2 linked regions of the Arabidopsis thaliana genome follow. The protein of the gene in region 1 interacts with the protein of each later gene in a pairwise test. Each region holds a gene or a part of one and is shown on either strand. Other genes may lie near its edges.

The links.
Region 2: the proteins of PAS1 (region 1) and AT1G25320 interact in a protein complementation assay, tested with the Arabidopsis thaliana proteins (one large-scale study listed by BioGRID).

Annotation. Positions count from the first base shown.
Region 1 is NC_003074.8:19,996,062-20,005,871, reverse strand, and holds PAS1 (FKBP-type peptidyl-prolyl cis-trans isomerase family protein), read right to left. Parts: upstream 5,052-9,810; 5' UTR 4,831-5,051; coding exon 4,757-4,830; intron 4,644-4,756; coding exon 4,559-4,643; exon of another isoform or gene 4,489-4,558; coding exon 4,419-4,488; intron 4,326-4,418; coding exon 4,228-4,325; intron 4,019-4,227; coding exon 3,896-4,018; intron 3,782-3,895; coding exon 3,749-3,781; intron 3,644-3,748; coding exon 3,585-3,643; intron 3,473-3,584; coding exon 3,391-3,472; intron 3,296-3,390; coding exon 3,137-3,295; intron 3,041-3,136; coding exon 2,983-3,040; intron 2,823-2,982; coding exon 2,674-2,822; intron 2,565-2,673; coding exon 2,467-2,564; intron 2,374-2,466; coding exon 2,304-2,373; intron 2,223-2,303; coding exon 2,163-2,222; intron 2,003-2,162; coding exon 1,946-2,002; intron 1,869-1,945; coding exon 1,800-1,868; intron 1,687-1,799; coding exon 1,609-1,686; intron 1,516-1,608; coding exon 1,414-1,515; intron 1,328-1,413; coding exon 1,256-1,327; intron 1,121-1,255; and 3 more. Other genes in the region: AT3G54000 (TIP41-like protein), read right to left, coding at 7,675-7,790, 7,888-7,977, 8,067-8,331, 8,430-8,708, 8,807-9,115. UniProt on the Arabidopsis thaliana protein: PPIases accelerate the folding of proteins. It catalyzes the cis-trans isomerization of proline imidic peptide bonds in oligopeptides. Essential protein regulating cell division, adhesion and elongation throughout the plant development and embryogenesis.
Region 2 is NC_003070.9:8,874,919-8,882,490, forward strand, and holds AT1G25320 (Leucine-rich repeat protein kinase family protein), read left to right. Parts: upstream 1-2,871; 5' UTR 2,872-3,069; coding exon 3,070-4,543; intron 4,544-4,627; coding exon 4,628-5,262; 3' UTR 5,263-5,470; downstream 5,471-7,572. Other genes in the region: CES (basic helix-loop-helix (bHLH) DNA-binding superfamily protein), read right to left, coding at 5,597-5,692, 5,779-5,859, 5,967-6,035, 6,505-6,570, 6,657-6,826, 6,911-7,100.

The sequences.
Region 1 (9,810 bases):
TGAAGAAATCTAGAACAAAAGATTTTTCCTTTTAGCAGGATCTGAGACGACGATGATAAGCAAAAAGCCCTAAAACAAATTTCTCCGTTGCCCCCAAAAAAATCTCCGATAAGAAGCAAAATCAGCGTTTTGCAAAATCAATTTAAGCAACGTTTTGGGTGTACGATAAAACGCGAGTTCCACACGGAGAAAACGGTTTAATCTTTCTTTTTGTTTTTAAAAGTGGCGACATTTTATTCAGCCGAGTGGATGATTGGTGGGTGGGATTAATTACTCTGTGTTATCTAAAGTTGATTTATATAATCACACATTTCCTACAACATAAAATTCGTTAAAGCATATTTATATACATATTTTGCATATGTACAAAACATTTTCTTTGTAAAATAATTCGTTTTCCCAAAACATCTTATACTAAAAGTAGAAAAAATAGAAAAGTAGATACTGTTTTTCAACAAAAACCTAACACTAATCATTACAACAATCTATACAGTAGGATAATCCTATTACCTATAGGATAAAAAGATGACTAATGAATAAATTTTGGGAGATTATACAATTAAGTCATGTTCTACATTAACATCTTCTTTCTTGTCATCATCTCGTAGAATTTGAATGAAACAAACAAACACCAATCACTTGAGGAAGCAAGAGAGGATCGTGTAGTGGTGCAAATAATTCCATCTTTGAGCAACTACTTTCATAAACTAAACCAAACAAAAATACATTAAGCTTAACGTTTAATCCATTAGTTTTATATTTTCTGAGTCTACAGTGCCGTTGGTTTGTTTATTCATTCATATCTCTCTCATGTAAATTTGGCGCTCACAAACTGGAAAATCAAAATCCCTATCAGAACAACACCAAGCTGGATTCCGATTTGGAGCATCACGTTCTTCAGAAACGGCCAGGCTTTCTCCGACCATTTCCTCTTCCTTTCCGTGCTCACTGTCGTAGCTCCTTCTTCTTCCAGTGTTTCATCATCATCATTATCCTTTGTCTCATCTACTTCTTCTATAGTTTTAGACTCCTCTCTTATTTCTGAACCAACTTCGGTTATCTCCCCCGGTCTCTTGTCGAATAATCCTTTGAACTGTTTTCTAGCCTTGCTCTCCGCTTCCTGTGAGCTCAAAAGAAAACAACTCAGAGATCTTATATTAAGTAACAAAATTGGCAAAACAAGCCCAAACCATAAGTAGCCTTAATGAACTCGATTCGGGTGGACATTTGGTTGAGATAGTTTTCAAACACTGACCTGTTCCTTCTGCTTCAGTTTCAATAGAGCAGCGGTCGCATCAGCTTCTGATGATTTATCCACTTTGATCATCTAAAACACAGACACATAAGTCAGTGAGTAAGCAGATTTCTGAATCTATTCACTAGATAATGATATGCAGGTTTAGCATAATATACCATATTGAAGTCATTTCTAGCGTCATCATACTCTCCACCTGCAATGTAAGCCATTCCGCGGCGGTATAGACCTTTCACATGACCAGGCTTTGCTTCTAGAACCTATTTGGAAATTGGTGCACAAAAGGTCTCAGAAATCCCAACCTCTTATTCCAGAATCAAGCCTTCTTAAGAGAATTGTTTATTGAATGCTACCTTATTGCATGTCTCTATAGACTTCCTCCACTCTCCCATTTTAAGCAAGCAAGCCGCAACATTCAGATGTAACATATTCTTCAAATATCAGCAGAGCAAGGATACGAGAGCTAGTTAGTACTTAATACTTCTAATATTATCAAATCTAGACGTATCTGCAACTACAAACGTAATGAGAAGATGGAACTCACCCTTGTGTCACCAAATATTTTTCCTTCATCTTCATCTTGTGGGTTAACATGATTAAATTCCCGGAGCACCTGGTTTTGGATTTACCGCTCAGACACAATGAAACAAATGCTAATACTGGAATTGGTTATCACATGACTTCTATTACCTTTTCGTACTTTGCTTTTGCGAGCTCAAATTTTCCTTCTTTGAAAAGCCTATTACCCTGAAGTTCATAGTATAACCAAAAGGAGAGAAGAACCATAAATTAATAGATCTGGTGTGACCTGATTGCAGAAAAGATTAGCTAATAGCAAATTCTGAAGTGATAAAAATTTAGGACTATAGGTCAAATTATAAATGGTAGCAGAATATTTTATCCATACCGTGCTTCTGATTTTATCTGCCTCGTCCATGATGCTCTGGAAGTTCAAGCCAGTCCAGTCCTGAGACAGAATCTCTAGACTTATAAGAAACGGAAGCTGTTTACAATTTCCATGGTAAGTATCAACACTAGACCAACTTACTCTTGGCGTTTCGAAACCAAGGAGTTCAATCTCCCACTGAACATGTGCACCTTCAGACACGCCAGGTGGTCTATCAGAAAAGAAAACATGAAATGCGTTTATTTCTCCGACAACAGTTTATACACTATCGTGTTAGTGTTATTTACACAGTTAAGAGTATAACCTCGGAAATTTGTCATATGCATAATCAGGGGGGCATGTAACAAGAGCAATCTCCCCAGGTAGCATCAAACGAGTACACATCTCAAACCCTTCAGGGACCTGCAAATACGACAGAATAATCTTAACCAGTCCGTGCGTAGAGATATATTTCAACTAAAACGTCTAAAGAACTCCACTAGGTTTTCCTATAAACGTTGGAGTAACTGACCAGTCCTTCTCCTGAACTGAACTCCAACGGTTGATCATTATTGTCAATCTTGCTATCATAGAAGACAGTCTTCTCTTCATTGAGAAGCATGCCCTTGTAGTGAACGCTTAAACGACTATCTTGGAGAGGACAATCCATTGGAAACTCGCCTAATAAGTTGGTCAAACGTTGTAGATCAGAATAGTCTAGCGGATAAACTATAAACAAGAGCTGGAATCTAGCAGATGCCCCAGCAAGATATATAAGAACAAAAACCCGCACCATGTTGAAACAGATAAGAGACAGTTGAAAAGAAAGTGTGAAACATACCTCTTCCATCTCGAATTCGACGTTTTATGAGACGTCCATCTCCAAGCATGTCCCGCACCTTCAAAGCGAGAACTTGAATGTCAGTCGCTCAGTTTCCCAATTCTTAAATGCACAAAATACTGTTTTCTTATTGCATTGCATTTGTCTTTCTTACCTGAATGAAATGTACCAGTTCAACCTCAAAATGAACTTCCTCAAGGTCTTGATCTATATGCAACAAAGGAGATTCAGTCAAGTACTGCTTGCGAACATATATCACTGCCTTCTCCTTCCGAGCCATGGTTCCAATTCCGATTTCAAGACCTTTAGGCACCTGCCTAATTGACGAGCAATAGTCAGAAATGTATTCCACTAGAATGGATTTGCATGGACAGAGAGTAAAAACTGCCCCATAAACTTAACAATTACCTCAGATTTTCCAAATGTGAAGAAATAAGGTTCTTCTGTGTGAGAGAAGATCACGTGTCCATCACCGGATTTAGCAGATATTCTAATATACACCACAGAAATGCATTAAAACTTCACTCAACGTTGCCCCAAATGGAAAAACAAGGTTAAATATATTTTGACCCAAAATGCAGGAATGATCAAGAATAAATTACCTGGCTTTCACTTCATAGGGTTCTCTGGGAGATTCCCAGCCCTCACCTTCATTTAGAATCTTTCATAGAAAAGGAAAGCAATGCTTGAGCCATCAGTACGAACAAGAAATACATCATCCCTGACCCATTTGATATGTCTACATATATGGAAAATCAGGTCCTACCTTCTTGATGACCCCCAGATCATCACTTGCAATCTGGAAATTAACACAAAGGAAAGGAAAGCATAAGTCAAAACAGATGAAATGCAAAATTTCAGAGTCTTTCGGCTAACTAATGCACTGTTATCTTGGTTAGTGATGAGATCTCGCCTTGGCTTTAGAAAAATCCAACAACTCAATCTCAAAATGAAGCTCATCATCTTTTGGAAAATTTTCTGGAGCTGAGACTGGACAATCAATCTCTGCATAGTGCATTTCAGGTTTCATCTTGAACTGAAAAAAGGAAAAAGATAAAGACTTTTCAGCCGTTGAGAATCAAGAAAGTAAGTTGAAATAGCTAATGGAAGATTTGGCGAATCGACTCATTGAACTTGAGGTAAATCAACAAGACCCTCTTCAGAACCCAAACTACGCAGCCGAGTAAAGAGACACAAACGTTATCATTGAGGCGACACTGATCTTTAAAGAGTTTTTAGAGTTACCATTGCAATTTCACCCTTGTGCATCGTGGGAATTCCTTCGAGCAATCCAAGAATCATTTTGCTGTTTCCCAAGACATCTCTGATCGGTACACCTCTCCCTGAAGGAACATCAAACAACACATTCAACGATGCCCCTAACAAAAAGCTAAAAGCAACACCCTACTGAGAAATGTTTCATCAATCAATCTCACCTCCAGATTCTGACCTCGTAGATTCCACAACTACACCATCCAGTGTCCGTACAGTGCAGTGATAAATAACCTGACGAAAAAACACTCATAAACAACCAAAATTGACCACGAGAAGCAAAAACAAAACCAAAATTATTAACCTGATCACCATCAACGGGGCTCGAATCACCTCCTCCAGGTCGCACCACAGCTTTCAACAAGCTCCCGGGAACAATTTTCTTCCTCCTATTCCACATTCAATTTCTCAAATTAATGATCTACTCACTACTCCCAGCAACAACAAAATAAAATCAACTGATTCAAACATAGATTACAAAGAAGATAAAACAATCATGAACCTCTTATCATCTTCCGTTTCGGATTTCTTCTTCTTCGGCAAGTAATTCTGCTCCGTCTGATCGCCTACCGCCATCGCCGATCAAATCCAGAGTTCCGCGAATTAGGATTTTGTGGAACGCAAACCCAGAGTGAAAGATCTACGACATGAAATCGATCCCAAAGCTCTCTCTCACTCCTCTCTACCTTCCTCTCTTGATACTGGCTGGGTAGCTCAACCAACAACAACTGTGTTGAATTGTGAAAAGTCTAGTAAATGTCTTACTGAATTAAACAAGATTAGTTTTTAAATTTTTTTATCAGACATATTGCTAAAAAATACACATATGTTTTTTTAACGGGCTTTAAGGCCAAACGGGCTTCCAATTATATAATAGTCCATGTAATCTGTTTTGTACTTTTTGTTTGCTTCATTTTTGCAAATGGTTACAATTTGTTAAGTTCGATATGAAAATTAAAAAATTGGTTACGTGTACTTTGCCCTAAAAGAAGGCTAGTTGTGAGCTTTCAATCTTAAATAATCTAATGTTATTTGCCTCAAAGTAAAAAACCAGACCGGATCCAAACCATTTTGGAATTATGTTGTATGTTTAATATAGGTGTACATGAGGTACCTCAATCGATTGTGGATGAACATTTTTGGGTCTATAATTTGTACAACAAATGAAACGAAAATTTGGTGATGGGTTGGTAGTTGTTAGTTGAGCAAATATGTTTCTCTTGAAAATTCTTCTATGCATGTGAGAACCAATTCACTCTATTCTGTTTTTTCCTAGCATTCAGAATCCATATAAGGAAAAAGGCCGAGCAAAGAAAATCCAAAATACACAAAAATTGAAACATAATTGGAGACAGATAGTTGCAAATAGGTCAACTTGTTTTAATATTGGTTTGCAGAAGCAGTGAACAGATAGTGACAGAAGAGGGAATACTATACTGTATTAATTTTGGTAGCTAATTTCTTCTCTTGCAAATATAGTTTGTCTTCAATAGTACGAAATTGTAACCTTTAAGAAATCAAGCATTGTAACTTTCATTAAATCTCGCACTTACCAATAATCCATAGGACATGTTTTTCATATTAGCATTTAATGCCATTTAAGCATATCATATGTTTTGTTAATTAGATAGGCCAATGTGGTTTCCGAGTATAACACAGAGAAAATAACTTGAAAATACAAATATGAATACTTCGAGCTTGTGAATCCGAAAATCTAAATGTGAATACAGAAACCTGTATGTATGCAAGCTTTATTTTCTTCAAAATAGTAATCAATCACATAGTTTATAGTATATGTACTATGTTGTTCTTATGTGAACTATGGAAAATGAGGAAAGTGGCATTAATGCGAGTCATGTGAAAGTGCAAATGGTTTTCATAAATGTTATATATCCGAACAATTACCAATAATTTAGTAGAACGATACGAACCGCGTGAAGCAGTCAACATACAAAAACACCCACATGAAAATGTGAGTCCCATTCCCATACTCCCATAGAAAATGGTTTAGATCAGGGTATTGGATTCAGGACTCGAGCAAGACGAATTGTTATTTGATGACTACATTACTGTGCTAATTAGATTATGTGGTTACAAAACTTGAAACAATAATATAGGTCGACGAAAGAAAATACTACTAGTAATAATAAAAAAACTGGACATGATGATTTGGTACTAGTTGTTGGAAACAAACACCGAGAAAACCAATACAACTAAAAACAGCTGCCACAACTCAAATTTCAATACTAATAGAAGTTGTCAATATTTATTAATCTGGAGTAACAAATGGCATAGGACAAACTCTGCACGTTGATCCACAAAGAAGACCAGCATTTCAGCATTTAATCAAAAATCGAGTTATTTAAGTGCTCGTGTGCTTCTAAATATTTAATGATCCATTAATTAATAGGTTGCCAAATTCCTTTCTATACGATTTTACCATTTCACTTGTTTAAATACTACTATATGACCTGAGTTTTGTTGCTAATAACAAGGCTCATTAGGTTTTGGGTATATAGTACATATCACCTTTTTATCTTTTTGTATTGGTTACTTCTGTCAGACTGTCAGTAGTAGTCTCAATGGTAAGTTTTCTTAAGAACATAGTAAATTTTTTTAGTGGATTTAGTAAGTAATATACTAATATTTATCGAAATTATAGTGTATGATAATACATACTTGTGAAACTAATTTGTGTTTTGACACCAAATTGATTAGGAATTTAGGATGTTCTTTCCTCAGATTTACCCCCCTTTTTTTTTTTTGCCTTTTGACGTCAATTTGTGTTACCCAGTTATGGGTTGTTGTTACTTATTACTGTTATCTCTCGGTTTGTGAGAATTTCTTTTCTAAAATTAGATTGTCAAATTCTGTCAATAAAAAAAAAAAAAGAGTACATGTTTTCTTAGTATTGATTTTTTCATCAAAATATGATTTCGCATGCAAAGATTTTAGGAAATATATATCCACCTGATGTGGGAATCAAAATCATATAACAAACTTTTCTTTTACTAATTACTTACTTATCCATTGCTTAAGAGTTGTGTGAACAAAAGAGAGGCAGAGAGGGATGACACTAAAGGAACAGCCCCGTGACAGACTGACATTTCATTTCCCAGTAAAAAAGTAAAAAAGAAAAACCCAAAAAAAAAGAAAAGAGAGTCACCTATCTCTGTCTGTCTCAAAGCTCTTTTCTTCATCTATCAAGCCATCAATGGTGGTTAAACGATCCAAAACCTCGTCCTCTCCACACTTCCAACTTTCTTTATTCTTCTTCCAAATCTTCCACTATCTCTACATTAACCCTAACCTTTTTTCCACTATTTCACTACCTGTCATCAACTCTAATCTTTCTTCAAACCAAACCCATCATAAAATCTTCCCCCTAAACACACCCAAAAGTTACGAACATAAAATCAGTCAATAAGCCCACTCCGATGGTAACCGAGGCTCTTGCACTGACTGCTCCGCCCTCACGCCACCGACCATCTGGCTCGAGAACCCACCATTGTTGCTCCTCTGTCTCCACGACACATCTACATAAATTAACAAAAAAATTAAACCAACTGGTGATAAAATTGACCGCTCAATTAACTTAAATAAGCTCTCGAGGTTGAGATTAATTTGGTATACCGTTGAGAGTAGCCGTAGACCGGACCGGTTCGCCTAAATTCAGATTCAGGACCTGAGCCAGTCTAGCCGGAACCAAAACCGTCGATATAGCTAAACCCAAGAGTAAAAACAGTTCTCATCATAAAACTAAAATATACCAAAGATTGACATTTGGGGAATTGAGCTTTTTAGGAACTTACTAGGCTTCTCTCGAGTCTCAGTTCTTGAAGTATGGTTAACACTTCGAGGTAAGAAGACACCGGTTCCGGTTGAGCCACGTTTTCCGGTATGGTCCCCGATGAATACAGCTCTCATAACATCACGCCTCGGAAACTGATTAGACCATGCAGAAGACGACAAATCCACTGGACCAACATTTTTGTTGCCATTAACTCTTACTCCTCTGTTCTGACGCACCAATTGGCGACGATGTTTCATTAACTGTTGCTGCTTTAGCTGCTGAAACTGCACAAGAAGACAAATGAAAACAAACCAATCAGCACAATCGCACACAAAAACTCAAAGATCAAGTGTTTAAGAGAGTTTTGCTTGTGATTGATTACCTGGATAGCTTGTAGCTTCTGGTATTGGAGAGATTGATGATTGTTGTAGTAACCGGTGCCGTTGTTAGAGTGGTTTTTGACGGTAGCGGAAAGTTTTGCGGGAGATCCGAGAAGTCCTCTGCCACTATGGTATGGTTCGTCGTTGATACTCATCCTCTCCGCAGCACAGTACAGATCCCATGAAGAAACTCGCGAATTAAGGTTCTGGTTAAACCGCTGATTCAAGCAACAACAGCCAGTTCCGGCGACACACGGAGGCGAACGATTCATTTCCCACGCCTGAACAACCACGGAGAACAAAATTCCCAAAAATTAAAAATCCAACGAAAACAGAGAAGATTGAGAACGAATTTGGTTTTAGATCGAAATCAAACTACCTTGTGGTCATTACCGGCCGGAAAAGCGTGATTACCGCAAACTCCACCGGAGAAATCATCTTTGAGAGATGACATAACCATCTGCCGAGTCAATCCGGCTAAGAAACTCTCCTCGTCATCTTCCTTCACCGTGTTAGGCTTAACGGTAGAGCCAAAAGTCCCAAATCCATGACGAGGCTCGTACGGGAACAAGGAGTCATCGATTCCTACACTGTTATTCTCCTTCTCAACGAGAAAATCATCGTCAGTGAGAAACTCCGTCGGAAGCCAAAACTCAGCATCGTCGACTACGCTACTAGGAGGTTCCATGGCTAAAGTGAAATTTTCACGGAAATCGAGAAGGGAACTTTAATAACGGAGGTTGCTGTTTTGTTAAGTTTCAATAACGAGTTTTGTGAAATCTCAGGGACCCAGTCTCAGGCGAAAAATAACAGAAAACAAAAAAATACTAGAAGACGAGGGAAAGAGACTGTCATGTATTTGTAGAAGGAAGAAGAAGAAGAAGAAGTAGTATAGAGAGGTGGTGGTGGTGGTGGTGGGGAAAAGGTTTCGTTCTTCACGCGCTTACAGTTAGAAAGTGGAGTTGACGCGCTAACAACTACTACTAGACTACTACGACTAACTAATACAGAGAGGGTAATGGCAAGTGACTTTGTGGGACCTCACTCTCGGAATATCTGTAAAGCGAGTTGACTACCACGTGATAGGGTTATAACCGTCATTTGACTGGCACGTGCCTTGTTTTATTTTACTTAATTATCCTTACAACTTGGAGTTTAGGATTCAATTGTGATTTTATCCCTTTTGTAATTTTAGTTAGCATTTAATGTGAAGCGTGAATGTTTTTGATACGTAGTATACGATGTTTTATTTCCTATTTAAGATACACAAGTCGGATCTTTCTTTAGGTACGTGGAACAATTATTGTGATTTAAATGATGAAAGTCTAATAACTGAAATGATTAGCAGAGAGAGACAGGGCTATTATTGTCATTTAAGTAAGG
Region 2 (7,572 bases), on another chromosome or scaffold:
AGGGAGAAAAGGATATATATGTAAACTACTCATGACGAGAAACAACAACGTTTGCCGCTCAAAAAGCTACTCTTCGTCACTAAGTTACTAATTCTTTAAATAAAATTACATTTATGTAAGGTGGACATCTAAGGTTCATAGATATAGCCAAGAAATGTAACGTGTCCATTTTTGACCTAAGTCTACGGTTTAAAAAATTAGAGATTTTGGAATGCAGGATATATACACACATAATACGACAATATTAGGACCTTACGAAGTCACGAGGCTCTTGTAATCGTTTACTCAGAACTCCACATGCATTAGGAGTACTCTACGTCGTACCTTTAATACAAATATTTAAATATTTTCGAGAATGATCTAATTAATCTAGTGATGTAAGTTACAATATTTCTGAATGGTACCTTCCGGTTTAGAGAGAACCTTGAGTTGCTAAGGGAGATATCCGGTTATAAAACGGTTCATGCGGCAACCTTGTTTATCATGCGGCAACCTTGTTTGTCATGCGGCATGATCTTTGTCAGCATTCAGCATGTATGTTGGGATTTAGACTTTCTAAAATCTTATCTAGCACTAAAGTTTTGACATCAGCCTTATTTGTCTATATGTATGGGTGACATGGTAATAATTTCTTTAACTAAATCTCTGGGATGATTTTTTAAATTAATTTGTAGTTTCTTTAAGAAGTTACACAACATGAGGTTATAACAATTTTACGTGACATATTTATAACTCACAAATGAACTATTTTTTGTTTTTTATATCTCAGGTGATCGTAAATGCTTTATAATCTCGGGATATGGAAAACAATGTTAAATTGAGCTATTTTGTTTTTGAAATATGAAAATTCATAGTTTAAAATTTACACAATCGATATAATATTCTACAGATTGAGAAATTTATTACCCGTATATAATGATAAGTAAGATTGATTTCAAGAACTTTTGGATCATGAGTCCCTCTATTTTGTTAGTCTTAGTTTAGGACTCTTCAGATTCAAAGTTTTATATATTAAAAAAGTAAATAGTTTCTAAACATGAGTGTTATATCATCGATCCAAACAATTGGTTTTGACAACGTTGCACTATTTAGGTAAAATATGCATCCATGGAAACCAAGATTAATAAACATGATGTTTCGAAAATATTAAAGAAAACTGCAATAGAGAAAGAAAAAAGAAAAAAAACACAAAGACCAAGTGAGATCATGTTATTGCGTAATACATGTGGATTGCGTAGTTTGGTAATGATGTTAGATAGTCTATGCGCTCCAGTGCTCCACAGCAACGGCTAACTTCTCGAACACACGCTCCTATTTTCAACGTGCCAAAGTTAGAGCCTAGCTTTGATTATCTTTTCTGGTCTATACTCATATTTTGCTGCTCCATGTATCCACCATCTCTTTTACTGGGGCACACTATATATATGTAAAGTGCTTTTACTGATAAAAAATAGTAAACAAAATGATATTTTAATCTTTTTACGTTCTCGTAGTATTCTTTTGTCCAGTCTAATTTACAAAGACTGAGAACATTCATTCTTCACTTAATATTATATAGTGTTGGTGCCTTGGTGGTATGGATGATTGATATGCTGAGAAAGCAAAGCATAAAACATAGGTCCAGGCATGTCTGTTCAATGTATGATATCTCTTTTAGCAACACTTTTCTTCTATCCTATCGGAACTGCAATTACTTTTTTGGTGTCATTCTCATTCATGTGCTTTATTTTATAGGAAATTTTAATTATTTGAAAGAAGTTTCTATTATTGGCTGTTAGTAAAACCTCTAAAATTAATCTCACTACTATGAATCAGCATCTATAACTTCATAGTATATCACCACCACAACTATGTTTTTTTTGTTAAATCCCAAACTGTTATTAAATGTGAAAGATCTTTAATCAAATACATATAGACAATCTCCATTTGTATAACCTTATGTTTATTTCCTTTTAGTTAATTAGCTTGAACTAAGTTTCACAAATTACATTTACATCTACACATTCACATGCACATACATTGAATATCAACTAATTTTAAAACTGATTAGTTAGTATACGTTCGGAGTAGCTAGACAACTATAGACATCATGATTCACATTTTTCAATAAATTGATTACTTGATGATACAAATGTGTGTGTTAACGGCTGGAAAACATACAAAGAGGGACATCATAGTTCATAAAGGTGTTCCCTTTATATATAGTTATACATAGAATGTGGGATAATCATGGAGCCGTACTAATCACTCTATTATTTTCTTTACAAAATAAAGTAGAAGTAGGGGTATTACTTTTTCTACTCCAGCTTACTCTTGTCTACTGCAACTATTATTCATTCGACTGGAACCATTAGCTCATACATATCTTGTATACAATTACTTAAAAATTTGTATTGTAAATGATAATCATAAATATACATTTTTGTTTGGTAATTATAATCATATTAAATATAGTTAATTGTTAAAGGTCGGTTAGTTTGTCTCATTCCTTTTGAAGTATGAAAATCACAAATTTTCATTAAGAGAAAACGAAAAATAACAAATAAAACAGCTTCTTTTAATATTAAAGTTTTTTTCTTGAAAAATTGTAATAATAATATGTGAGCTAAAAGTATATAAAAATTGGCATAAGTGCTCTTTCGTTATGATAAAGAAAGTGCATGAATTTCTCCGCAAGAGCTAATCTTTTGCACATTTGTCATCATCATTCTCAAGTTTTGTATTTTCCCATCATTCTATATCACTTAAACTATTCAACATTGATTTTAATTCACCAATAAATGAAAACAGAAATTTGTATAAATAAAAATACTAATAAATTGTTGATCTCAAAAAAAAAAAGTTGGGATATTTATAGATAGATACCAAAGTCCAAAGGTCCAACTTAGGAAGCCCGAATCTTCTATCAACGTCTCTCACAGTCCCTTTTCATGCTTTCACACTCTCACTGCTCTTCTCTCTCCAATTCTCTCATCAATCTCCGCAAACTCTTCTCATTCTTGATATCTCCATTACCAAAAGTAAACTCTTGTCCAAATTCTGCTACTTTTTTGTACTGATTCCTCCGAAATGTCGGTGGGATCTCTTTTATTCATGTTTCTTCTTATCTGGAACTTCAATGGCGAATTGAATGCTCTAAACGACGAAGGGTTTGCTCTTTTAACTCTGAAGCAGTCTATTTCAAAAGATCCAGATGGTTCTTTAAGCAATTGGAACTCAGAGAATCAAAACCCTTGTTCTTGGAATGGAGTCACTTGTGATGATAACAAGGTTGTTGTCTCTCTTAGCATCCCAAAGAAGAAACTTTTAGGTTATCTTCCTTCTTCTCTTGGTTTACTCTCTAATCTCCGTCATTTGAATTTGAGAAGCAATGAGCTTAGTGGGAACTTACCTGTTGAGCTTTTTAAGGCTCAAGGTCTTCAAAGTTTGGTTCTTTATGGGAATTTCTTGTCTGGGTCCATTCCAAATGAGATTGGTGACTTAAAGTTTCTGCAAATTTTGGATCTTTCTCGTAATTCTCTTAATGGGTCTATTCCAGAATCGGTTTTGAAGTGTAATAGGCTTAGGAGCTTTGATTTGAGTCAGAATAATCTCACTGGTTCTGTTCCTAGTGGATTTGGTCAGTCTTTGGCTTCTTTGCAGAAGCTTGATCTTTCTTCTAACAATCTTATTGGTCTTGTTCCTGATGATTTGGGGAATTTGACTAGATTGCAAGGAACTCTTGATTTGTCTCATAATTCGTTTAGTGGCTCGATTCCAGCTAGTTTGGGGAATTTGCCTGAGAAAGTTTATGTCAATCTAGCTTACAACAACTTGAGTGGACCAATCCCACAAACCGGTGCTTTGGTGAACAGAGGACCAACTGCATTCTTGGGGAATCCAAGACTCTGTGGCCCTCCATTGAAGGATCCTTGTTTGCCAGATACGGATAGTTCTTCAACTTCTCACCCTTTTGTACCGGATAACAACGAGCAAGGTGGAGGAGGGTCAAAGAAAGGAGAAGGTTTAAGTAAAACTGCTATTGTTGCAATTGTGGTTTGTGATTTCATTGGAATCTGCATTGTGGGATTTCTCTTCTCTTGTTGTTACTTGAAGATTTGTGCACGTCGTAATAGTGTGGATGAGGAAGGCTATGTGTTGGAGAAAGAAGGGAAAGAAAAGAAAGGTTCCTTCTGTTTCAGAAGAGATGGATCAGAGTCCCCTTCTTCGGAAAATCTTGAGCCACAACAAGATCTTGTTCTGTTGGATAAACATATTGCTTTGGATTTAGATGAGCTGCTTAAGGCTTCAGCTTTCGTTCTTGGAAAAGGCGGGAACGGGATTGTGTATAAAGTTGTCCTCGAAGATGGTCTAACGGTCGCTGTTAGGAGACTGGGAGAAGGAGGTTCCCAAAGATGCAAGGAGTTTCAGACAGAAGTTGAAGCAATTGGGAAGCTAAGGCATCCGAATATCGTTAGTCTTAAAGCTTATTATTGGTCAGTTGAAGAGAAACTTCTCATCTACGACTACATTCCTAATGGAAGCCTTACCAATGCACTCCACGGTAAACTATAAAACCTTTATGATAATACTTCTCATATCGTTTCTCTGTCTTGAAAACTCAATTTTGGTTTTTGTGTATGCTTAGGAAATCCTGGAATGGTGTCATTCAAGCCTCTGTCTTGGGGAGTTCGGTTAAAGATAATGAGGGGAATCTCAAGAGGGCTGGTGTATCTTCACGAGTTTAGTCCTAAAAAGTATGTTCATGGATCTCTGAAACTCAGCAATATACTGTTGGGACAGGATATGGAGCCTCATATCTCGGATTTCGGACTTATGCACCTCTCTAGCATTGCTGGAACATTGGAATCAACTACAGTTGACCGACCATCCAACAAGACCGCCTCATCGATTGGATCATCTGCAAACTTGAGCTCATTTTATCTGGCTCCTGAAGCCACTAAAGCAACAGTGAAGCCATCACAGAAATGGGATGTATACTCATTCGGAGTGATCTTGCTAGAGATGATAACGGGAAGATTACCGATTGTTTTCGTGGGTAAATCGGAAATGGAGATAGTCAAGTGGATACAAATGTGTATCGATGAGAAGAAAGAGATGTCAGACATTTTGGATCCTTATTTGGTGCCTAATGACACAGAGATTGAAGAAGAGGTCATCGCCGTGTTGAAAATTGCAATGGCTTGTGTTAGTACTAGCCCCGAGAAACGTCCACCGATGAAGCATATCGCTGATGCTTTGACCCAAATTTGCCTTCAGTGACTCGTAACAAAAACGGTTGCAAGTCAATTGTGTGTATGTAATGTGTTTAAAGGAAAAGTCTTACTGTTGTTGTTAGTTCCCCTTGTAATATCGAAATCTTATGTTACTTCAAATAGAGTTTCTTTGTAACATATAGCTTTACTCATTTTCATGGTACATACTATATGGATAAGCTTCATAATCATAAGGTTACACATTTATGATAAAAGTATACTGACGTCACACACAAAAGATAGATAAACCTATATATACTGATCATGGTAAGTCCTTATTTATGGAGTTTAATTATAGAAAAAGAGAATAATTTCTCTGAAAATTCATAATTTTCTTATGATCAAAAGGGTAATGTTGAACTGAAATTAGGAGGCTGTGTTCCAACGCTTTCTCTTAAAATCCTTTCCATCTCTGCTGCACTATGAATATTCCCTCCCTGTAATCATTTTTTTGTTAATACAAATCCATGAAAATGTTTTATCTTATTATAATTTTAATCATGTAATATTATGTGATAGTTACCTGAAATATATCCGTTGGCTCAATATCCAAAGAATTAAGGTCGTAACATGCACTTGCCGCTGAGAGTTTCATGGACAAAAACTGTAGTCAAGAGGCCAAAGCAGGAAAACATTTAAGTATTAGTGGGATATTATAAAAGTTAATGGGATGTTTGAACTTTGAAGAGTGAAATCAATGGCCTAACTAACCTCGATTTGATTCTGGAGTGATCGTACATAATCTATGATGACATCAAGCATCACTGCCATTCCCATTGCCTGCATCACGTTTTGAATTATCATTATAGAGAATAAACCCATTTTGATTTATTACTGTGGAAAAAAAAAATCGCTATACAAAAAAACAATCTGTTCATTTACGTAAGAGACGCTGCCACACCCTTTTAGATTTTGGCGTTCCGAAAAAACAAAAACAAAAACTAATTATTTCTATAGTTTTAAAATATTCTATCACATGATTCCTAATTTTTTACACTTTAATTCAATGATACATAGAAAAAAAATATTAATAGTTAAAGAATTGTGAGCTTGAAAAATTATCTTTAAAAAGTGTTTTTAAACCAAAAAATAGCACCAGAGTTACTTGGATTTAGAGGTAACTAATTTATCTAGAGTTACTTGTTTTTAGAGTTTTGTTGATTTTATTTTAATTACAAAACAAAAATTAGGGAGTTGTAGACAACAAACAAACAAAAAGAAATATTAGGGTTTGCGTTAATTCAAGTACCTTGTAGCATCCTGGAACAAGGTCTTGTAAGCATTTCAGCCTTTCATTGATCTTCTCTCTTCGTACCTTTATGCATTCCACAAAGAATCCAACACAACTAAGAAAAGTGAAGTTTTTTGTACTTTTGAGTATATATGTATTTGTAGAATTACCCTTTCAGCCAAACTATGGCTATCAGTAGCTTGACCTCTCTTAGCTCGGACATGAACAACATCTTTTGGCTTCTGAGTCTCATCTCCATTCATGGCTTCTTCCTCTTCCGACCTCTTTCTTCTTCTCTTCGACCCACTCTCTTCTTTATTTCCTTTTCTTCTCGTATTACCTGCGATTTCTAGCTTCATCAGAACACACATAAACATAGATATAACAGTTTTTCCCACAAACAATAAAATTATAAAATTTTCACCGTGCAATAAATTTGGGAAGAAGTGAGAATTATTGTGATTGGCATCAACTAAAGCTCCATTGGAGAAAAGCATGAAACTGGAAGGGGTAGAAGCTGGTAAGTCCAGATTTATTAGCTCTGGATTTTGGTTAATGTGTGCAAAGAAAGGATCATGACCATTATTATAGTTATATGGCTCAAACCGTGCCATTAGAGACACTACAAATTAAATCAAAATATGATTTCCTTTTTGTGAGCTAGTTTTGTTTTTTTTCTTTCTCTAAGACAGTTATAAAACTTGCAATTGAGTTGTGATTGTTTATATAGATAGAAATGTCTAAGATGGGGTGAAATATTTAATAAGTTAAGTTTTTAAATGATTTGGTTATTTGCTCATGTATTGTGTGACTTTTGGTGAGAATGAGAAAGAAGCGTGTGAGACCAAAGAGACACTCGTAGCTAGGTTTCCATTTATCACTGTGCAGTAGATTTTGTGGGACCCATGTTCAATGTTAGATATATCTAACTTGTCGGGACCTTTTGAGTATCCCTTTTAATGTAACAAGTATGGTGCCAAATTGAAACCGAAGAAATTGCATTAATGATCTACGAGCGATCATCACAAGTTTTGCATTATTAGGCTATCGGACAAAACTTAAGTACGACGACTTAACATTAAGCGG